Linked DNA regions of Ovis aries. The protein of the gene in region 3 binds, or shares a complex with, the protein of the main gene of each other region. Links are inferred from orthologs where the notes say so. Each region holds a gene or a part of one and is shown on either strand. Other genes may lie near its edges. The genes, in order: STK26, STK24, STRN and STK25.

Region 1 (6,178 bases), on a different chromosome or scaffold from region 3:
CAACTAGGTTCACCAATGCAAGAAAAGGTTTTCCACCTCTTAGATAAAAGTATTCAATAATGTGTTCATTAATCCTTAACCTTCATTTCCATCTCACATCTAAAATAACAACCGTTTAAAAACCGTACCACCTTGATCATATTTAAAGATACGTGAAGGCTAATGTTTAAATTCTTTAGCACGAAGTTAAAAAAATTCTTTCACAAGAGGCATAACATAATAACAGTTAGTACTCTAATTCAACATTTAATTTCATTCTCTCACCCACACTTTATGAAAGATTTAACACCCAATTTAGAACACTTGTCTTCATAAATACTCATGCAGTTTCTAAGGGGAAATATCTTAAACTTAAGTATGATTTACAACTGTGAACTTCAAAGAAACAACATGTTTTAAATCATTAAAGAGTAAATATTTGAGTGGAAAGAAACAGGTTTGTTGGTTTATTTTGTTTAAGTTGTGCTTTAAATATTTTTCAAGAGTTCAGCTCCTGGTATGGAAAATTCCTTTAGCGATATACTACAGAAATAAGCACAAATTAAGCATCAAAAAATTCATATCCTTTACATTTGGTGTAATATGGCAAACATTTCATTACCACAATATTAAGAAATATTAACAATACGAGTCTGAATAACTAATTCATAAGGAAGGGTTTTAACTGGACCAAATCCTGGGTTTTCTTTCGTCACTCCAAGTTTCTTTTCTATTTTAAACTAGAGGCAACAGAAATTTCTTTGTTTGAATGTCAGGAATGCTGGAAGTCTTAAGTGATAGAACAGGTAGCTCGACTTCACGTCTCTCCTCAGGGGGAGAAAAACACTGCGGGTAAAGTAATTTTGTTTTTATTTCTGGAAAAATCATTTTTCCATCAATCTTCATAATTCCCTAAAATAAACTGTTAAAAAGTTACTGGCCGGTCGACCACTTCACCCTGATTTGTGGAAATACTATACATTAATTTCAGGAACACATGGCTAACTCAAGTTTTCTCACTACTGTGAAGATCTAAAAGTTGCTCCTAACTCTTGCAGAAAAAATTTTTACAAGCTCGTGATATATTCCTGCATCTCATTTTCACTACTTTTAAACAAAAGAATAGTCACAGTAGTCTAGGCATGAGAGTCACGCTGCTAATCATCAAATTTGTTTTTAGGATACCCCACAATTTTAACTGTGGAAAACCTGTTTGTTGCCCCAAATGCTTAAGAACCACATCTACAGAGAGCATGGAAATAAGAAGGTAAGAATTTACCATTTCATTCAGACAGAGACAGTGACAAGTATTCCTCTCTTCTTGGCAAATGTTGAGATGATTGCCCTTCCCAAAGCCATCACAACTTTGGGTAGGAATAAAATGAAAGGCAGAATTTATCATTTAAAATATGAGACTCACATTCTAACCCACCTTAATGAAGATTTTTAAAAATTAAAAAATTCAAAAGATAGGGAAATCAGATAATGAAACAAAGCAAGGAGCCATAAGAAATACTGAACAGTAAGGAGTTCCTAAACCATGTAAATCAAATAAAGCCAAATCAAATAAGGACCAGAAACCATATAAATCAAATAAAGTCAAGACAAATGAAATAAAGACCAGAAACCATTTTCTCCTCAGCACGCAGGGTTCCCCAGAATCAAACTTGATCGGGAGGTGCTCACTCTGCTGACGCACGCACGCAGGCAGCGCGTGCACACAATGGAGCGAGGAGTACTGAGACACTCAGAGACAAACTTCACATGCGGACTCTTCTACTCCCCAAAGGAAAGGAGAGCACGGTGGGAAAGTTTCCCCACTTTCTTCCACATCAGACAGAGCAAAACTGTAGTTGATAAGGCAAACTACTAATTCTCTCGACATAATCAAAGGCAGAACTGAATGAATGGGGTGAGGGGCAGTGGCTGGGGGGAAGGAGGGAGGGAAGGAGAGGGTGGCGTGAGAAGAAGGAAGTTTGAGGCATTTTGTAAAGCTTGAATGGATTAACCTTTTAAAAGGCCCTAATGTCTCGCATTTCCCTTTTGCTTCCTTTTCTTTTTTTTTTTTTTTTTTAATGAACTACATCGATTTCCTGGGACTCAACCCAGACTTATCCTATATTTAGCTGAAAGGCCTGGTGCCTAGGACACACAGGAGTCCTAAGTTAGATATATGTCCGATACAAACAGTCCTTTGGGGGGAAAGCACTTTAAAAATCACTTTTTTCGTGTGATCATGCATCAAATATGACCAACTGTTATTTTTTTTAAGATGAATTCCATGCATTATTTAGTAAATTAAGGCCCCAATCCATGGCGCTTTGATTTCTACTAGCAACATAGCTATTTACCAAACATTTTTTTCTGAACTTAGAAAACGTTTGCTTTCACATTTTTAGAAGATAATGAGGCTTAAGTGCTTCTAGTCTTTTACCTATTCATAAGTGGGGGTGTTTAGGCTGTCTAGCAAAGGAAAAAAAATAAAACGTGAATGCTTAAAAGCTACTCAACTTGGATAACATTTAGTAGATAGCTTGAAATGCACCGATTCAAAAACCTAACAATGCAGAAAGTTTGTGGACATAGCTTGTTTCTTCTTTAATAAAATGAAAATGTAAGGGGGGAGGGCTGGTAAGATGTAAAAGATAAAAAGTTAGGTCCCAGGCCGTAATATCTTGTCGTCCAGGACAAAAAGCTTTGCAACAACCACACTGCCACAGCCCTCCGGTGGGAAAGGCTGGGGGCGGGGGCGGGGGCGGGGGCGGGGGCGGGGGCGGGGGCGGGAGAGTCATCACCACCGCTGCTCTAACTTAGGACCCTGCGTTTCTCACACCCCACTACGGGCTGCGCCCGGTGGGGGGAGCGAGACACAACTTGGCCCCAAAGCAGCAGCCCCAAAAGGGGAAAAAAGTCACCTCGCTCTTTGCTCTACGCACACAGGAAGAGCCCAATTCAAAGCCGCCACCACCGACACCCCCTTGCCTTGCTCCGCCCCAACTTGTGTGTGTGTGTAAGCACCACTTGCGTTTTACCCAACGAATTCCGAGACACCTCCATCTCTTCCAAGTGAAGTGCTTCCATTCCCACCCCCACAAGCGCACCAGCTCAGCCGGCGCAGGTGTCCCGCCCCTGCCTGTTTTAACACCCCCCCCGCAGCCCCCGGCATCCCCAAAGAGCCGCGCGCCCCAGTCCCTCCGCGCCCGGCCGGCACACTGCACCGCCTAGCTTACACGCCGGGAAACACCGAGAGCTCTCCGTCCGGGTCACCTGGCCGGAGCGCCCGGCCCGGCTTCGGTCGGGGAAGCCCCGGGCCGCCTCTCGTCGCCGGCGCCCAGCGCGGAGCGCGCCCCGAGCTCCCGGGCAGTCACGTGGACGGCGGGGGCGGCCCGGGCGTCCTCACCTGCATCCCGGGCACTTGGACCGCCACCGGTGAGTGGGCCATGAAGGCGAAAGCGGCTCCGCGCGGCTTCGGCGGCGGCGGCGCCTCGGGCTGCGACTGGCTCCTCCTCCGGGGGTAGGTCGGCGGCCCTCTCAGGCTTTTCGACCCGGGCCTGGAAGGACACACACGAGTTGGGTGACAGGGCGGGGGGCGCGCGCGGCCCGGGGCCGGGAGGTGGGCGGTCCGCCGCGAGGCTCCCCGGGACTCAGTCTACCTTTCTGGCGCCCGCCCGCCGCTCTGGCCGCCGCCTCCGCTGCCGCTGCTGTTGCTCCTGAGCGCCCGACGCCGTGTGTGGCAGTGGCCGGGACCTGGGCTCCAGTGATGCCGCTCGTCTGCGCCTCGCCGCTTTAGGAAGAGGAGGTGGAGGCGCCCCAGCCACCCGCCCGCTCGCCGGGCCCGGGAGGCGGTTGGGGGCGGTTCCGCCGCTGGCCCTGCCCCCGCCCCGCCGCCGGGCGGTGTCAGGAGAGCTAGGACTGCGCTGGGAAGGGGCTCGGCTGGGGCTCCTGGAGCCCGACAAGAGGGAGGCTCTCCTGGCCCACGGAGAGGAGAGCTCGGGGACTGGAGGGCGTGGAGCACGGCTCGGCCTGGAGAGAGAAGGGAAGAGTTCGGGTGACCCGCGGGGTCCGAGGGCGTCCCGGGCGCGGCCACGTTGCAGGCAGGCTTGCGAGGGCACGGGCGGCGCAGCCTCGGAGAAGTGTTGAGTTGAAACTTGGCGGGCGTCGGAATTCCTTCTCGAGTCCTCGACGTGGTCGAGGGCGGGGGCGCAGAGAGCCGCCGAGTCCGAGTCAGCGGACCCCTGCTCTCCCCCGCGTGTCCCCAGCTGGGGCCGCGCCGCTGGGCGGGGTCCGTGGCCGCTCTCCTCTTTCCGGATTCCCCGCCCCCCGTCAGGCTTCAGGTGCCTTAGAACTGGGGTTACCCCTACCTCTTGGGCTACCAGTTGGGCGGTTGTGGGGGAGGGCGATCAGACTGGGGCTTCTCCGCATCACAAGCACGTGTAAGAGAGACGGAAGTTGGAAAACAGATGGCACCTAGGCAGAAAAATGAATGAGGAAATAGAGGCCTGGGAAATGAGATTGGGTCATTCGCAGGACGTATTATTGAATTCAGCATACAGAGCAGTGGTTTCGGCAAGTCCCTGCCTCCACCCCATTTGAAGTTCCACTCCAGCAGGGAGGTAGACTCTTCGGAGAGTAACCTAACAGTAACGAGATTAAAAATAATAATAATAGCAATTGCAGTCATCTCATTAGGAAGGCACCTTTGGGAAACCACAAGTGCCAGTTTAAAATGAGGATGGAGTTCCCTGACTTGCAGGTTATTGTAGGGCTGTACCCACCATGGTGTTGGGGCTCTGGCAGACGAGAAATGTTTCTCTTGTTCCTTTTGAATCTGTCTCAAAAGATAGCATGTCATTGTTATCAATATATTTAGCTATCGTTAATGAGTTCCATTTTCTGTCAGGGACCGCTAAGTGCTATGTGTGTGTGTGCGTGTGTGTGTGTGTGTGTGTGTGTGTCTTGCCTTACTGAATCTTCACAAGGGCCCTCTGAGGTCATATTACCTTTCTTCCATTTTACTGAAATGCAAAAAAAGGCTCAGTGAGCTTGAATAATTTGACCCAAATATCACATAATTAAGAAGTGGGAGGGCTGGGAATTCAAACTCAGGTCCTTCTGACTTTTAAGATCTGCTCTCTTAACAACTGTCAAGTATACAGAACAGTATTGTTAACTATAAGTCACAGTGCCATACATCACATCCCCAGAATGTAACAATCTTCTAACTGGAGATTTGAGCCCTTTGACCACCTTTACCTGTTTCCTGCATCACCCTCCCCTGGCAACCACCAATCTACCCTCTGTGTCTGTAAGTTTGGTATTTTTTTAGATTCCCTGTGTAAGTGAGATCATATAGTATTTGTCTGTCTCTGTCTGACATTGCACTTAGCATAACGCCCTCAAAGTCCATCCACATTGTCACAAATGGCAGGATTTCCTTTTATAGCCTAATAATATTCCTTTGCATGTATATACAGCACACTTTCTATATCCATTCAGATGATAAAGGATATCCTCAATTCCAGGCCCTCCGTACTTCCAACCTGACGATAGGCCTCAATCCAGTCTGGATTTCCCACCATCCCAGTTCACACTTAATGCCAGCCTGACCAGAAACCTACAGTGTCATGTAAACTCCATAGTGGTTCCCTGGGATTCTTTTTAAAGTGCAGATTTTGATTTAGCAAGCTTGGAGTGGGTCCAAGATTCTGCATTGCTAACCGGTCCCTGGGTGGTACGATAGTGCTGATTCTTAGACCACACCTTCAGTAGCAAGGGTCTGAATCAAGCTCCATCATTTAAGGCCCATCTCATGTCCCAACCCCACTGATTCTTCTGTGTTGCTACAGGCCTTCTTTCAGACTCTTCCTATTGCATGTTGGTGGGAGCAGCACTCACATTGTAGTTCTTTTCTCTTATATCATGCATTTCATTTGCTTCTCACATAAGAATTATTTGGATAGAATGTCAGCTTTTTGAGGGCAAGATTTATGTTGGTTATGTTCATTGCAGTATCCTCAGAGCCTAGAACAATGTATGGCACACAGGAAACCCTCAGTAGATATTCATTGAATGAATGAACGGATGGATTTCCTTTCAATTCTTCGCTGAGTTTGGTATAGTGCTAGTTGGTATAGTGTTTTATTGATAGCCTGGTTCAACTCTCATTTTTTTGTCTTCTAAATTCTTTTCTGTTACTTTA
Region 2 (6,048 bases), on a different chromosome or scaffold from region 3:
AATCCATGGGTCACAAAGAGTCAGACACGACTTAGCGACTGAACGACAATAATTCAGTCAGCTGTGAAATCAATTTAGTTTTGCAAAGGCTTTCTTCTCTTTAATAAAACGCATCGCACAGCAGCTCGCAAGTAGTGAGGATTAGGACTGTCTTCTGAAACTTTTAGTTTTAGGTCTTGATGTAAAATGTATTTCTTACATGGGTCACAGTTCAAAACAGGTTTTAAGGTGACTCATAAAATTCCACGATAGAAATTTATAAACCAAGATCTAATTCTAACTTACAACTTCTGCAACTAAAAGCTGATCAGTGCTGCTGTCTCCAGCTGATGCTTGCCCCTCTTTCAATCTGAATTAAATTGAGAGAAGCAACAAATGTTCAATGAAGGACAGGGAGTTATTAAATCTACCACTCAACCTAATTTCTTTATGTCTATTTGTAGTTACTACATTAAGCTAGTGATTTCCATTTTTCCCCAATGCTAATGAAACTGGGATGTGGGAGGTTAAAAAAAAAAAAAAGGAAAAGTGTCCCCCCCCCCCCAACTCCTCTTATGAAACAGTTATTAAAAAGGATAACTCATTCAGACTTACAGCCATCGACCCCTCATGGAGTACTTGGCACAACAGCGTTCAGTAACAGTTGCTGATCAAACAAACAAAATATCAGTCTCATATTTTAATTTCTTCTGCAAACCCAAGTTGGGATGAAACAAATGTTACTTTCTGCTAAAGTAATAAGACTAATTCAGCAAGGCCAGTAGGAGTATGAGTTCAAAAGTAGGAAAGACCTGGTCTCTAGTCACAGATTGCCACATAATGCACCTTCTCACCTTGGGTCAGTTCAATTAGTTTCTGCTGGTTTCCACATCTAGACAATAACATAAATTACACCTGCACCTCAGGTGGTACCAGTAAGAATCTAGAGGCATAAAAATGATTTGCAAGACAATGAAGAAGGAAGTTTTAACTGCAATTATTCTTTTAAATCAGGTTTGTTTTTTTTTTTAAGGATCTTTGCCTAGGGGCTGCCTGAATCCACTCTGCTATCTTTCTTGAAATTTTTAAGCCATCTCCACATAAATCCTGGTCAGGAGATGAGAGAGGAAAAAAGGGAGGGAGATGGGATTAACAGGGCAAGGGCACAGGTGGGTTAGCACTTTCCTCCCGTTTTATCCTGGAGAGCCGTCTGAGGCAGGTGTGCCTTTACGTTAATCCTCAATAACAACTCTGAGGAAGGCCTCCCTGGGCAGCAGCAGCTGCTGATTCAAAGCAGAAAATAAAATGTGTGTGTTGTTTTTCTTTTGGAGTGGAAGGGAGAAGGAAAGAATATTCCTTCCCAAATGGCACATCAGAAACAAACATCATAGATTGTATGGAGGCACTTCAAACACAGGGATGACTCTGTCCAAAGCCACCTCGCGCCCCTAAAACTGCAAGAGCTGAAAGTCTAGTTGTTTCAACCAAATAAAAACTTACCAGCCTTTATACTGAGAAAGCAAAATAAAAACAGCTCCCTTGTAACTTTACGGAGGAAATATGTTTGGGGAGGCAAGCTTTTCTTTTTTGAAGAAATGAATCTTCCTTATCCAAGACTTAAGAATTCTGGCCCACACTCCTGAAGCAAAAAATTGAAAGGTGAGGACAAAAAAAAAAGTGTTGAGACTAGATAACCACCTGACCTGGTGACCATCTGATACTGACTGGAGGGCATCAGCCAGAGAAGCTTTAAGTACCTTTTTAAATAGATTCCCTTTCCACAAAGGCTGACTACACCTCCACAGTAGTACTGAGCAAGGCATGTGTACCAGACTACATACAACCTAATTAACAGCATAAGAGTATATCTCAAGAAAGTACTGACCAAATATGGTTCTTGGTGGGGGGTTTTTTTTTTTCCAAATCATTACAAGAGGTCCTTCTTGCTCTACTGGTCAGAAATACATTTTTACCCAGTTCACCCTGCTTTCCTGTCTCTAAATTCAAACCAAACCAAAGCAGGAATTTTAGGAAATACCAAGAAACCACATCTGATTTCTACCTAGCGGTCAGCAGTAGCTTAGGTTTTTTAATGCGTGTTGTTTAAAAGCTCTTTACAGGAGGTTCAAGGACAGTTTTCTTTTTAAGTACAGTAAAGTTATTAATGTTAATTGTCACTCCACTTTAAAAAAAAGCTAAAATCCCGGTAACTTTTTTCTAGATATCAAACCTGAACAATGAAGTCGAGTTTTCTACTTCGGATTTAGAGAGAGAAAAGATCTCTCTCGAATGAGGGGGCAGATTCCTGGCTCCCATGTGGTCCAAATACTTCTCAGCCCTCAAGAGGAAGGGGAGGAAAAAAAAAAACAAAAACGAAACAGTACGTTGAACACTAAAATACAAATAATCCACTCGGATACTTGTGATTGTTTTCTTAAAGTTCGTACGTTCCCTCGCCCGGCTAACCTGGGGGGAACAAAACTTTTGAGAGATACCGTAACCGTTCCGTTGAGATTTTTAATCCCAAACATTTGCCACCATTTACCCGTTTATACACATCACAAACTAGCCGAGGAAGGTGGTTTTTATTTTTCAAACGCCTAAACATAATCCCCGAAGGCGAAAAACTTTCTTTGATGCATCCTCGCCCCCACTCCAGAAAAAAATTATTAAGCCGCTGGGAGGCCAACAGGCCACAAAGAAGCCACGGAGAGGGTTAGTGGGAAGGGACTCTCCGTGGTCGGATCCAATCGAGTTTCCAAGTCCAGCCCAGAGTCCCGGGACCCACGCTGTCCGAGTGCAAGCTGTCCGATCGATTCCTCCCTTCCAGAACGGACTTCCAGGCTTCGCACCTTCCCGTCCGTCTGCACCGGGAGGAAGCGCGCGGAGCAACGCGCTGAAAGCGGAGCTGGCGCTTACCCCTTCCTCTCCCCGCCCTGTCTCCTCCACCCGCCGGGCCGGGACGAGCCGGGGCGCGCCCGGGGGCCCCCTCTCCGGGGTAGGGGGGGTGGGGAGGGACAAGGGCCTCCACCGCTGCCCACCCCTAGCCCGCACCCGGGCCCCGAGAACGAGCCGGGCCTCCAAGGGCATTTCTCCACATCACTTCTTCCCAGGGGATGGGCCGGCGCGGGGCCTGCTGCTCGGGAGGGGGACGCGAGGAGGGCGACTGGGCCAGCAGCGCACATTCTCCCCTCCCCGGACCACCGGGACTCCCGGCCCGCGAGGGCCGCCTCCGGGCCGCGGCCCCCCAGGTCCCTTCACGACCCCCACCCCACCCGCGAGACCCGGGCCGCGGGGCCGGGCAGGACGCCCCGGAGGCGGCGAGCGCGGCGCGGGAGGCCGGCGCGACCCCGGAAGGGGCAGCGTTCGGGGGAACTGGGGGTTGGGGGAGCGGCCGTGTTTACACCGCCAAGTTCCCCGCTTCCGCCCCGGCCCGCGCATCCCTCCCGCCCCTCGGCGGCCCGGTTCCTGCCTGTACCTGCATGCCGGGCAGGCCCGACTGCACCGGGGAGTGAGCCATGGCGGTCAGGACGGCCACTTCCTGGGACGGGACGGCCGGGCCGCGGCGATCCGCGCGGGCGACGAGGCCCGCGGGCCGCGCGCAGCCCTCCTCGGGCGGCCGGGGGCGGGAGATGGGGGGCCGGCCGGCCGGAGCCCGAGGCCACCCTAGCCCCCCGTGGGTCCTGGGCCGGGCGGCGGGCTCAGGGGCGGGTGGCGGGCCTCGTCTCCATGCACCGCGCCGGGGACGGGCTGCGAGGAGCGCGGGGCCTCCCTACGAGCGGCCGCCCTGCTGCTGCTGCTGCCGCCGCCGCCGCCGCCGCCGCTGCTGCTGGACTGGAACCGGGCGGCCTGGGCCCGCGCGCTGGCGCCTGGAGCTGGAGTGGGGCGCGCACCGCCGGCCGAGCCCGCGAGCGCCGAGCGCGCCCCGCCCCGGCCCGGCCCCCGCGCCCGCCCCCGCGGCCGGGCCGGGGACCCCGCCCCGCGCTTCCGGGAGGGGGAGGAGGCTCGCGGCCGCCCGGCGCCCTAGGCCGCAGCGGTCCGCGCCGCCGCCGGGCCGGGCCGGGTAGAGGTCCGCGCGGCTCCCGCGGGCTAGACCAGGTGGAGGGGGACGCGCGGGCGGGTGCGGGGCTAGGGGCCTCAGTTAGCGGGGGGCAGGGGTCCCCCCCGGTGGTGAGATGGGAGGGCGCGGGTCTTCGGAGTCAGGGATGGGCCATGCGCCCACCCCGCCCTGCAGGCCCGGGCCGGTCGGACGCCCCGGGGGATCTGGGCTTGCCTTCCAAAGAAGCCCACCCCTCTCGGCCTGGCGACGGGCCCCAGGCCACTTCCCCGAGGGCAGAGCCTGGGGACCCGGCGGGGGCCTCGGCCAGCGGCCGGTTCAAAACTACCGGGGCGGAGCTTCTTCGGTGTCCGGGTGAAGTTTCCAAACCAACCCAAGGAGGAAGCCCTCCGGGAGGGGAGAGGCCGAAAGCGGTTCGTTTCCCGTGCTTTGGCTGCTTGAAAGCACTTGGAATACTAGGAGCTGTGAACTTAGCCAACAAACAGTGAGGGGGCTGAACCCCATCGTCTCTGGGCCCCGGACCAAGGCGTGGGGGCGGGGGACGTCCACCCACCAGAAGGGAGAAGCGGGCAGGGAGGGCCGAGGAGGAAGGGAAGACAATGGAAGGAAACGATGTCTAGACTTTCCCCTGCCTCTCTCCCGCTCTTTCGGCTGCCTCCACCTTCTGGTCACCTCTCCTCCGACTCCAGAGGAAAGAAGCAAGAAGGAGTGAGTCACTGCTGCCTCCAGAAAGTAGTAGTTTGTTTACAACGACCAACAGCGGCAGTCCCCTGAAGGGACCGGCTGCAGCTGGGGTTGCTAGGACCCCGACGTCTACATTCGTGCCCGTGAATGACGTTGCACCAAGGCTGGGTGAGGCTGGACCTCCAAAAATTAGCCCATAGAGTTCGCAGACCGCTGGAAGAAGTTGAAAAGCCCTCCACCGAATGAGGGGTGTTTCTTAGAGGTGTCAACTGGATTCAGAGTTCCCTGCGGTGCTCTGGATCAGATAAGCAATGACTTAAAAACCTACTCCCCGCTTTCCTTTGGGAAATTATGCATGTTTTGTATCCTCAGCATCTTCCAGGATACTTTCAGATACCTCACGGTGGTCCCTGGTGTGCGACCGTCACTGAGCCCTGAAACCCTGCCACCCCCAAATACTGTGAAGAGAATAGAGCAAATACAAACTTTAAAAAAAAAGCATGAACCCTGATGCTTAGGGCGCTCACCGGCTTGTGTAAATTTTGTGTACACACACACAAAAAGCGTACATAAAGAGACAGACGGCAGATCAGACAAGCGTGTGAATATTAAAAAATGTTCATCTTTAACCCAGGCATTTTCCTAAGGAAACAACGGAGAAGTGCAGAAGAATGGATATAAAAAATGCAATGTGGTGATATTTATGATGGTGGTAAAATTGGGAACCGATTAAAAGTCTGAGACTTACTTAAATGATAATATAGTCATACAGTCATTTAAAGTGATGTACTTCAATATTTACTAACACGGGAAAATATTTTCAAGATATATTGTTAAGGAAATGCAGGGTAGAAAGCAGTCTGATCTCAAGTTACTTCATATATATGAAGTTATATTTAAATATATAACCCTTCATATATATGTGTGTGTGTGTGTGTGTGTGTGTGGATGTATATAATTTTGTGTGTAAATGTATAAATAGAGAAAAACCTGGAAGTATATGCCCCAGGATTTAGCAGTGGCTAGCCCTGGAATTAAAGATGATTTTTTTTTTTTTTAGTTAGTATTCAACCAATAGAGACCATCGTGCTAATAGGTCTCTCCTGAAACTCCAGTACTTTGGCCACCTCATGCAAAGAGTTGACTCATTGGAAAAGACCCTGATGCTGGGAGGGATGGGGGCAGGAGGAGTAGGGGATGAGATGGCTGGATGGCATCACTGACTCGATGGACATGACTTTGAGTGAACTCTGGGAGTTGGTGATGGACAGGGAAGCCTGGTGTGCTGTGATTCACGGCGTCGCAAAGAGTCAGACACAACTGAGCGA
Region 3 (5,387 bases):
ACACAAAGAAAAAGCACACACTTACTTATGAGCTCTGAATGTATAGATAGGCTCCACATCAAGAGACGTGCTCCTAAATCAGAGAGAAAGGAGGATGTTTTTATCATTCTAAAAGTCAGTAGTAAACAGTATGACTGAATGTATGTCATAAAAACGCCCCTAGAAATATCAACACTATGGTAATATACAATTCTCAACCCCAGGACACAATAAAGCCTACCTAACATCAATCACATATTTCTGTGGCTTCAAGAAACAAAATTCTTTAGTAACTGTTACAGCACTTTTAGCACTGTCCTAATCTATTTGATTAAAGGGAGAAAGAGCCTCACTCGGAGAGAAAACAGAAGGGTTTTGAAGACATAAATTTCTGGATTTAATTTCCAGTTCTGTATCTAATTGGCTAACTTTAGGCAAATTATTTAATCTTTTGAAACTTTAGATTCCTCTATGTTTAATATAAAATATAAAAATAGGGATAACAGCAAATATTTACAAGATTAAATGAGATTCTTCACGGTAAAACAGCGTAGGACAGAACCATACAGAACAGAATTTCAATCAAAGGTACTTTAATTTCCTCGCATTTCCATAAAGATTAACATGTCTGTCCTGAATACCTGCAGAAACTGTCCACATTAGATTTGAACATCAGAACAGATTATTCACTACTCAGAACACTGAGTGTATGAGTACTCTACATGGCTTATGCTGGCCATACTGAGAACAGAAACTGGATTGTATTACAGATTTTTTTTTAATAGGCATATGATAGCTCTCCTCATTTCCAAAGTTTTAAGTTCAAAGGTAAACAAAGACTATTGTTACTTGCTTGTGAAGGTGTTATTACTAAGCTACCACCAGCAAGAAATTTCAATATATTTCAAAGTTACAGTCAAGAATATATGATGAGATACTCAACATTCTCTCATCTAATATGATGCCCACTGTGAACTAAAGAACTTGAAGAACAAAAGGCACAGTTTGTAACCAGGAAATACCTTTCTCTGTTAAAGACACCTGATCTACATGAAGATTCACTTGGTTTTAGCAATATCCAGTTGAGCTGTCTGATGAACGTCTAGGTGTGACAGCTGGAATGTCACTGATTGTTTTCAAATTGGGCAGGAGATATTCTCTGTCAGTAGTAAAACTTCTGTCCTCTCCTCCATTTGACGTTCATTTCTACTCTTTAATAAAAAGAGGTATCTATCACTGTAGAAGGGCCCTTGCTGGTAGATGCTGGGTTCTGGACCACGTAATCCAAGGAAGAAAGAGAAAGTACCAAGTGGGATCAGGACTAGCTTGGTGACTGATAAAAGGGGTTTATACCAACTCATGTCTGTCCGTGCTTACAGAGGAACCAAGGGGCCAAGGGAAGTTTAGCAGATAAGTGAGAGCAGCAACAGTACCCCTTCAGTCTAGACATTTTGGTCAAGATCAAAAGAAAGGATCAAAGAGAGGTCTCTTGCCCCCACCGGCTCCAGCATAAGGCCAAACCTAGTAAACAATGGGGAAGGATTGGGGTTGGGGTTTGACGGTTTTAAACATGACTATGCCTGCTTACAACAACAGAAACCTCCAGCGCAGACAAAGGGTTCTCAAAATTTAAGTTATTTAAAACACCAAATAAAGATTATAATCAGCATTCACAAACCATTTCTCCCTAAGGGTCAGTTTTTCAACCTAAATTAGCTTATGAGTATGAAGGCAAAAACATCCTAAATTACATAACATGGTAAGGAAAAAAATTAGAAGAGATATTTGAGGAATTTAACAGCAAATAATAAAGTAAGGCTTTCTCTGCTGAAAAATATTAATTAAATTATTCAAATACAGTTAAAGTAGAATATTCTCACTTTTTGGCTGGGGCTGTTTTCTGCAAATTCCACATTTTTAACGTGTGATCCTCTGATGCTGTTATCAAAACAGGCTCAGTGGGGTGGAAAGCGAGAGCTCTAATACCATCAAAGTGACTTCTTAATGTAAACTTGGGGTTCCATGTCTTCCTCAATGCATCTTTATTATTTGCTATCTATTAAAGAAAAAAAAGATACCAATATACTTAGTTCAGAATGAGGGAAAAAACTGTATTTCAGCATTAATTCTTACTGTTTCATCATTAAACTACCATTATTTTGCAACTTTCAAAATAATGTAATTTTTAAGCAGATAACCAAATCAATAGGCAAAATTAGCAATATGTCAACAATGGTTTTCTTTGAAGAAATATGAATGCTATAATAAGAAAATACATAATTCAGTATAGAAGGAGGATCAAATAACTTAGTAACAAAAAACAAAATTTCACTAGGATGCTTTTTAAAAAGACAAGTGATTTAAACCTGAATTATAGAATATAAAGCAATTCTGGTTAAGAGTTGAAAAACTAAATTATCTTTAAGCATGTTAACATTACAGAATATGATGATACTTTCAAAGTTTTCAGTGGTTTCAGACAAGAGCTAAATTTTCTTCAAATTGGTAATGAAGTTTATATACTGACAACAAAATGTTAAAATTGGAAAAGACAATCAGATATTACGAACATAATTATATATTTACTATGTTCCTTTTCTCCACAGAGGGCTTCCCTGGTAGCTCAGATGGTACAGAATCTGCCTGCAACACGGGAGATCTGGGTTCGATCCCTGGGTTGGGAAGATTCCCTGGAGAAGGGAACAGCAACTTACTCCAGTATTCTTGCCTGGAAAATCCCCATGGACAGAGGAGCCTGGTAGATTACAGTCCATGGGGTCACAAACAGTCGGACTCAACTGAGTGACTTTCACTTTCTCCACAGAATCTCAATCTCAATAACTGAAAAAATAATGCACTGTTTTTTCATTCCAACTAATAGAAAAGCTAAAGAGGATAGTGTTTGACTTTACACAAGCACCATGGATGAACTTCACACTCCAAGGCTAACAATCATGGTAGATTTAAGCAAGTATTTGTAATATATTAGAGAAATGTTACCATACTCACAGTTACAAAAATTATCAATGATACAACAACTGATATTCTATACAGCATTCATTATTTTCTACATTATTCAAAAGACTTAAAAAGCATTAACTCACTTAATCCTCACAACTCTATGATGTTGGAATTAACAGTATCCTCACTTTACAGACTAGCCATTTTAGGGAAAGAGAAGTTAAGTGACTTGCCATCTAGTAAATGGAGGAGTCAGGATTCAAAATCAAGCAATCTGGTTTCAGAGGCTATACTATTAAACTGTAATTTAGAACCCAGACATTTAAAAATCTGCAGAGAAATCTGGACAGGACATGTCACAACTGGGGCAATTCATGCGTGCTAAGTTGTTCCAGTTGTGTCTGACTATTTGCGACCCAATGAACCATAGCCCACTAGGTTCTCTGTCCATGGGGCTCTCCAGGCAAGAATACTTGAGTGGGTTGCCATGCCCTCCTCCAGGGGATCTTCCGGACTCAGGGATCAAACCCAGGTCTCTTTTGTCTCCTGCACCGGCAGGCAGGTTCTTTACCATTAGCGCCACCTGGGAAGCAATGAGTGAAAACAAAACACATTATGCAAGGAACTACTCTAAGAATGGGGCCGATTATTTTGAGGGCAGGCAGGGCTGGCAGGAAGGTTAGGACGACAAGGGCAACCGAGCTGACCTCTTTTATTCTTATAAAAGAGCTAAAAGGTTTTCATGTGGAAGAGTACTTAAATTCCTTTGATTATCTTGATGTGGTAGGCAGCCACTAAGTTCCCAGTCAGCCCCACCTATTTTTACCTTTGGGTAGTCCCCCTCCCTGATGGCTCCGATGGTAAAGAACCTCCCTGGAATGTGGGAGACGCAGGTTCATTCCCTGGAGAAGGAAACGGCTACCCACTCCAGTATACTTGCCCAGAGCATCCCATGGACAGAGAAGCCTGGCAGGCTATAGTCCATGGGGTCATAAAGGGTTGGATACAACTGAGCAACTAACACTTTCACGCTTCCACATTATAGGCATGCTCTGTGATCAACAGCATACAGCAGAAGTTGGAATAAACTACTTCCAAAATTAGGTTATAAAACCTTTCATCTCGAGTGTTTCTGCTCCCTATCTTTTTAGGTGCACTCACATTGGGAAAAGCCAGCTGCTCTGTTGAGGAGCCCACAGAGAGGTCCATGCGGTGAGGAACTGGTTCCCAGACAACAGTCAGCAAGAAACCAAGGCCTTCAAACAACTACATGAGTGAGCCTGGAAGCAATTTTCCCCAAGTCAAGTCTAGGTAAGACTGCAGCCCTTGTCAATGTCTTGATTACAACCATACAAACAGCCAGTCACATAATTAAGCTGTCCCCAGACTGCTGACCCATGGAAGCTGTGAGATATCAACGTTTGTTCTTCTAAGCTGTTAAATGTGGTACAAGTTGTTATGCAGCAATAGATTGCTAATATGCTTAATAAAACTAGGAACTACTTTTAGAAACTGAGACAGACTAACACTAAGTTTTCTAACAATTAAGTTATGAAAAAAGGATGAGCTTTCTCCAGAGAGAGGATTGAATTCCTTTATGTATTAGACAAACTCTTTGCAGGAACAAAAGCATCTAATGGGAATTTCTGCTTCTGGTCATGATGGACCAGATCATTAGGACCAACTGTGTACTGAGGACAAGTAGAATAGCAAACCTAAGAATAAAAAAATCTATAACTAACAAAATCGTGGGAAAAAACCTAGGATCCAGGTGAAGACAAGAGGCCTACGGAAGTGAGCCTGGTATCTGGAACTGTTTTCCCCCGTGAGTGTTTACTGATTGCAGAAGAGATGGCTGAGAGGTTGAGCTGTGTTTCTGATGACTTTGCAATACAGAGAGCTATAGATTGATGTCCAGGGCCTGCCAAGAAAGTAGGGCTTAGCAGACTATCTGGCTTTAGGTTTTGATTTCAGAAAGCTGTATCCCACACATAAGAGTGAACTAAAAGAACAAAAGCCCTTAAAAGATTGTAGATCAGCTTTAGATCATCTCAAAAACTAAAAATGAAGCAGGTGATCCAGATTTCTAGTGGTTGCAGACATCTGAGAGAAGAAAATGAAAATATACTCTTCGTGGAAAGATATAAACTTAGGCCAGAAATTATTTCTAGAGACAAGTTTTCAAATATAGCTATTTGGACATAGTACAAAATAACCATACCCATATGAGATACAACAGCATAAATGAAAACAAACAGAAATAACACATAATTAGTAACAGAACTACTACTGTAACCAAAAACCTTTGGTTACTACTGTAACCAAAAACAGAAATGACCGCTGATTTTAAGAGAAAACAACAAAAAAATGAAATATATTTAAAACACTAAAAAAAAGTATGACAGAAACCAATGCAATTTTTAAAAATATCCTTCAATTAAAAATAA
Region 4 (5,387 bases), on a different chromosome or scaffold from region 3:
CCAGGGTGCGCTGCTGGGGCCTCTGTCCACTCAGGCGCCCGGCCTGCAGCCCTGGGGGCCTGAGGCGGCTGCGAGCCGGGCCCGGCCTCTGGTTAGGGCCTGCCCGGGGCCCCCTTCGAGGCTGTGGATAGCTGAGGAGCCAGACCCAACTCTGGCCTGGGCCGGGGGCGGGGGTGCCGCTGGCAGAGGCCCGACGGTGGGAAGGGGAGGCCGAGGGAGCGCTGGGGCACGCCGGTGCCCGTTAGTGCTGCCAGGCCAGCCTGCCCCACGTCTGCACTGAGGCCACCTCGGCGGGAGAGGAGCCTGTCTCCGGAGCACGGGCTGGACCGGAGGTGTGCCCTGGGCTGAGACGGCGTGGGGTCGGGTGGGGCCGAGGGGGAGCAGGAGGCGGCTTCCTGGGCTCCCTGGCTTGGGTCCCTCCTGAGGCTGCCGCCTGCGCCCTCTCCCGCTCACCTGGCGTTCTGAGGTTGGGTGAGCTCTTCCCTGCTGGTGACAGCCCGGGGGAGGCAGCTCTTGGCTGTTTCGGGTTGACATGTCTTCTCGGTCTGGAGCCAGTGGGCCCTGAACTGTGCCCTGCTCGGGGGGAGCCCTGTGCCCCCAGACTCTGCTCAGAGCCTGTGAGTGGCCGCCCTGGCCCAGCCCCCTCAGCGCCAGGGAGCTCGCACGGATGGGTGGGTATGGTGCCGCCTCGGGGGGGTGCCCGGGTGCCCTCGGGGCAGCGGTGCAGTCTGGAGGGAGCTGTGTCTGGTGGACTTGTGGCCCAGCGCGCTTGGGGGACCCTCTCTGCCCCTGTGTGGACCAGATGCCAGGCTCCCTGCTAGCTGACCAGCGCCACTGGGGTCCTGGGTCTCCAGCGCCTGCTGTGGGGGTGCACGGTGACCTCGGCCCCCAGGGGGCCACGCAGGTGGGGGTGAGGGATGCCCCGCTGTCCTCCACGCACAGCCCCACGCTGAGCTGTCTCAGGCCTGGACACTGAGGGTCAAGGTCGAAAGCCAGATTGCTCTGTGGACACCCCTGTGCTGCCGTGTCCTGGCACTGAGCCTGTCTGAGGCTCTGCGCCTTGTCGGGTGGGTCTGTGCTCCAGTCTGAGCCCCAGGTGAGAAGGGTGGTTCTCTGTCCATTTGCACGTCCAGGGGAGTGTGGGTCTCCAGCTCCATGCTGGGGTGAGGGCATCACTCTCCTGAGGACTCTCCTTAAGGGGTGTGGCTTCCAGGTGTGCAGGGAGAACTCAATACCTGTTTTGTTTTTTTCCTTTGATGAATAGGCTTCACTTTTTAGAGCAGTTTTTGGTTTAGAAAGCTGAGAGAGCGAGCTCTTTGCACCCCGCAAGGCTTCCCTGGAGTTGGTTATGACTGATGGCCCAGCGTGGTCAGGCTGTTGCCCACGGAGCCAGCGGCCTGTGAGGCCGGCCCCCTGTGCTCACAGCGTTGCCCAGCACCGTTGTCCAGCTGCCCCCAGCTCCCCGTGCTCCACCTCCTTGTCCCTCCTGATCCATGACTTGCCTCCCTGGGTCCTCCCCACGTCTGGGCTGTGGGCACACAGGGGTGAGCTGCATGGCCCATCTGCCTTCCCTGTGACCCTGGTTTCTTGGCGAGAGCCTCAGCCTCTCAGTCCTCTCTGGGGACGTTTGCCCCTGAGTGGAGGTAACTTTAGGTTTTCTGAATGAAAAGGGATGTAAGAAGCGAGAAGAGGCCCGGGGGGGCTCCCTGGCCATCCGCCCCTGACCCAGCCGCTCGCCCCCGTCCCCAGCACTCGCGAGTGGACCCCGAGGAGCTTTTCACCAAGCTCGACCGCATCGGCAAGGGCTCTTTCGGGGAGGTGTACAAGGGCATCGACAACCGCACCAAGGAGGTGGTGGCCATCAAGATCATTGACCTGGAGGAGGCGGAGGACGAGATCGAGGACATCCAGCAGGAGATCACCGTGCTCAGCCAGTGCGACAGCCCCCACATCACGCGCTACTTCGGCTCTTACCTGAAGGTGCCCCCCGAGACGGCGCCCTGCCCGCACGGGGCCGCTGCTGGGACCCCTGTGGCCAGAGTGGGGACGGGGCTAGCGGGCCCTGTCTGCTCAGGAGGCCTGGCTGGGTCTCTCCCCCCGGGCCCGGTCTGTAGGGCGGGGGTCCCCACGGGAGGCACTGTGGACTGGGCCTCCAGGGGACGACCACGCCCAGGGCCAGGGGCCTGGCTGTGTCCTGAGGGCAGCCTGGGGGTGGCAGGGTGTGAGCAGGGAGCGGCTGGCTCTGGAATGGCCCGTCTGTGCCCCTCCTGGGGCGGGGGGGCCCCCTGGAGCCGGAGCCCTTCCCAGGGGCTTTGGACACGGGCTCGGCCCATCTGCAGTGTCTGCGCAGGGGTGTGGTGAGGGGAGCCGGACGGGCGGCCACCGCTGTTCCCGGTGGGCATCTTGGCTGAGTCAGTACAGCTGGGCGCATGTTGGGCCCTGTGCTGCCTGCTGCCACCTGCTGACACACTTCTCCGCCCCAGAGCACGAAGCTGTGGATCATCATGGAGTACCTGGGTGGCGGCTCCGCCTTGGACCTGGTGAGCTGGGGGGCCCCGGGGGCTGGGCAACCCGGTGGGCAGGGCCAGACTGAAGAAGTTGTCTGGGGGTTGTCCTTGAACCCTGGGTTCCTGTGGCCTCCCCTGCTTCCCTGTCGTGGTGGCTGACTGTTCCTCAGGACCCAGCTGGTGCTGAGGGTTCCAAGTCCTCTGCTGGCCTGTGGGGAGGAGGTTAGACCCCCAGCAGGAGGCTCAGGAGTGTGGCCACGTCCCCGGTGTCAGCTGTTACCTCCCACACAGCTGTCTGAAACTTTAATTTCAAAAGTGGGTGAAGAGGCTTCCCTGGTGGTCCGGGGGCTAAGACGCCACGCTTGTAATGGTCTGGGTTCAATTCCTGGTTGGGGAACTAGGTCCCACGTGTTGCAACTAAGAGTTCACGTGGTGTAACTGAGACCTGTGCAGTCAAAACACAGTGGGTACAGAGAGAGGAGGCGCCCACGCGCAGGGGGTCCCCGCCCTTGGCGCTGAGGCGGGCGTGCTCAGGGTCAGTGCTGGGCCTGGGGTGGTGGGGAGGGGTTGGGCAGGCTCTGTGGGGAGGCCTGAGGCCCAGCTGGCCCCGCCTGCAGCTGAAGCCGGGCCCCCTGGAGGAGACCTGCATCGCCACCATCCTGCGGGAGGTCCTGAAGGGCCTGGAGTACCTGCACTCGGAGCGCAAGATCCATCGCGACATCAAAGGTGCCTTGGGGCGCATGGGGGCGCGGGTGCGGGACCCCGGAGACCTGGCGGTCCCGCTGTTCCCAGTGACAGACAGGGCCGGCTCAGCCCTGTGTCCCTGCACATGGCATAGTGGGCTCCGCACGTAGGCTGGGGGCCCCGACTTAGCCTGTGAACGGGAGGGCTGAGAGCAGCCTTGCGGGTGGACGTGTGGCCAGGCCAGCCTGCAGGGGCGTGACTGGCAAAGCAAGGGAAGTCAGGCCGCCCGCCGCCTGCTGAGCGATCTGGCCGGGAGGGCAGTTCCTGTGCGCAGGGTCTTCAGTGGTGACCGTCATGGGCACTGGGGCCGGCTGAGGGCGCGTGTGCGCCGGCGGCAGTGTGCCATGGCCTTGGGGCTGAGGGCGCACCTCCCTGGGAGACTGGCCGCAGGCTGGGGGGGTGCTTCCTCGGGTGGCACGAAGGGTGACGCCCACGGTCCTGTGTCGCAGCTGCCAACGTGCTGCTCTCAGAGCAGGGCGATGTGAAGCTGGCAGACTTCGGGGTGGCGGGGCAGCTCACGGACACGCAGATCAAGAGGAACACGTTCGTGGGCACCCCCTTCTGGATGGCGCCCGAGGTCATCAAGCAGTCGGCCTACGACTTCAAGGTGGGCTGGGGCGGGGCGGCGGGCGCGGGGGCGGCAGGGCGCGGGCGGGGGCCGGGGGCAGCAGGGCGCGGGCGGCCTGCGCTGCAGCGGCCCTGTGGCTCTCTGTTCAGGCCGACATCTGGTCGCTGGGCATCACAGCCATTGAGCTGGCCAAGGGCGAGCCTCCCAACTCCGACCTGCACCCCATGCGCGTCCTGTTCCTGATCCCCAAGAACAGCCCGCCCACGCTCGAGGGCCACCACAGCAAGCCCTTCAAGGAGTTTGTGGAGGCCTGCCTCAACAAGGACCCCCGATTTGTAAGCGCCTCCTGCCCCCAGCTCGTGAGTGGTGAGGGGGCCTGCATGGCTGAGTGTAGTTGGGGCCCCTGGCACTGGGCTCCAGAGGACAGTTGAGGGGGGTGTGTGCACGCGCATGTGCGTGTATGGAGTGGCGTGCTGGCTGTCTGTAGTGGGAGCTCAGAGGTGACAGGGCCAGAGGCCCCTCCGCTGTGCCAGGGCGGGCTCCTCTGTGCCCCCAGCCCAGGCCAGGAGGGTCTGGAGGGAGGCCCTTCCCCTGGGGAAGACAGTGTGGAGCCACCCAGCCCCCCTAGGCGCCCCTGCCACCTGGGGTCACCTAGGCTCAGCTGCCCGGCGCCTGGTGACCCCTGTGCGTCCCCGGCAGCGGCCCACCGCCAAGGAGCTCCTGAAGCACAAGTTCATCACGCGCTATACTAAGAAGACCTCTTTCCTCACGGAGCTCATCGACCGCTACAAGCGCTGGAGGTCGGAGGGCCATGGCGAGGAGTCCAGCTCCGAGGACTCCGACATGTAGGGCCTGCTCTTCCCGTGGGGCTGAGGCGGGCTCTCCAGGGCAGGGGTCGGCCTTTGGGGCTGTGAACCAGTGCACCTCAGGGCCTTCCTGACCCCCAGCCCCGTGTGACCTCCCACTGTCCCCTTCAGAGACGGAGACCCCGAGGATGGAGAGCAGGGGCCCATCTGGACGTTCCCCCCTACCATCCGGCCGAGCCCGCACGGCAAGCTGCACAAGGGGACGGCCCTGCATGGCCCCCAGAAGGTCGGCCTGGCCCCGGGCGCGCCGTAGGGAGCGGGCTGTGGGGGCACCTGCTGGGCACGCCCGCTCCCCCAGGGTGGCTCTTAGGAGACCAGACTTGGGGGGTGGCTTGCAGTTGCCCACGCCCCGCCATCTCTGCCCTGCTCACCTCCGCATGCTCTGCGTTTGTAGTCGGCAGAGCCCGTCAAGAGGCAGCCGAGGTCACAGTGCCTGTCCACGCTGGTCCGGCCCGTCTTTGGAGAGGTGAGGGCCAAGCTGGTGCGGCACAGGGTGTCTGGGTCCCTCGGGGCTCGTGAGGTTGGCCCCTTGGACCCGGCGTTTTGAGTGGAAGGACCAGAGATGGCCGGGATAAGCCGGCCTCAGGTGACCCTCAAGATCCCGAGCCTGCCGGGGTCTTCTGGGGCCCCGGGGGCTTTGAACATGAGCTGCTATCCTGGGACCTGTCACCTAGAACCACAGACACGGGGTGATCCTTCGTC

The links.
Region 1: STRN (region 3) and STK26 share a complex: the UniProt entries of both Homo sapiens proteins name them as parts of the core of STRIPAK complex. The link is inferred for Ovis aries from reciprocal best matches to the Homo sapiens genes STRN and STK26.
Region 2: STRN (region 3) and STK24 share a complex: the UniProt entries of both Homo sapiens proteins name them as parts of the core of STRIPAK complex. The link is inferred for Ovis aries from reciprocal best matches to the Homo sapiens genes STRN and STK24.
Region 4: STRN (region 3) and STK25 share a complex: the UniProt entries of both Homo sapiens proteins name them as parts of the core of STRIPAK complex. The link is inferred for Ovis aries from reciprocal best matches to the Homo sapiens genes STRN and STK25.

The regions. Positions count from the first base shown.
Region 1 is NC_056080.1:102,851,782-102,857,959, forward strand, and holds the start of STK26 (serine/threonine-protein kinase 26), read right to left. Parts: upstream 3,768-6,178; 5' UTR 3,633-3,767; intron 3,531-3,632; 5' UTR 3,422-3,530; coding exon 3,380-3,421; intron 1-3,379. UniProt on the Homo sapiens protein: Serine/threonine-protein kinase that acts as a mediator of cell growth. Modulates apoptosis. In association with STK24 negatively regulates Golgi reorientation in polarized cell migration upon RHO activation.
Region 2 is NC_056063.1:74,889,872-74,895,919, forward strand, and holds the start of STK24 (serine/threonine-protein kinase 24), read right to left. Parts: upstream 3,862-6,048; 5' UTR 3,500-3,861; coding exon 3,458-3,499; intron 1-3,457. UniProt on the Homo sapiens protein: Serine/threonine-protein kinase that acts on both serine and threonine residues and promotes apoptosis in response to stress stimuli and caspase activation.
Region 3 is NC_056056.1:87,162,078-87,167,464, reverse strand, and holds part of STRN (striatin), read right to left. Parts: intron 2,036-5,387; coding exon 1,860-2,035; intron 74-1,859; coding exon 26-73; intron 1-25. UniProt on the Homo sapiens protein: Calmodulin-binding scaffolding protein which is the center of the striatin-interacting phosphatase and kinase (STRIPAK) complexes.
Region 4 is NC_056054.1:369,774-375,160, forward strand, and holds part of STK25 (serine/threonine-protein kinase 25), read left to right. Parts: intron 1-1,749; coding exon 1,750-1,980; intron 1,981-2,483; coding exon 2,484-2,540; intron 2,541-3,124; coding exon 3,125-3,233; intron 3,234-3,700; coding exon 3,701-3,858; intron 3,859-3,968; coding exon 3,969-4,154; intron 4,155-4,518; coding exon 4,519-4,664; intron 4,665-4,796; coding exon 4,797-4,911; intron 4,912-5,079; coding exon 5,080-5,151; intron 5,152-5,387. UniProt on the Homo sapiens protein: Oxidant stress-activated serine/threonine kinase that may play a role in the response to environmental stress.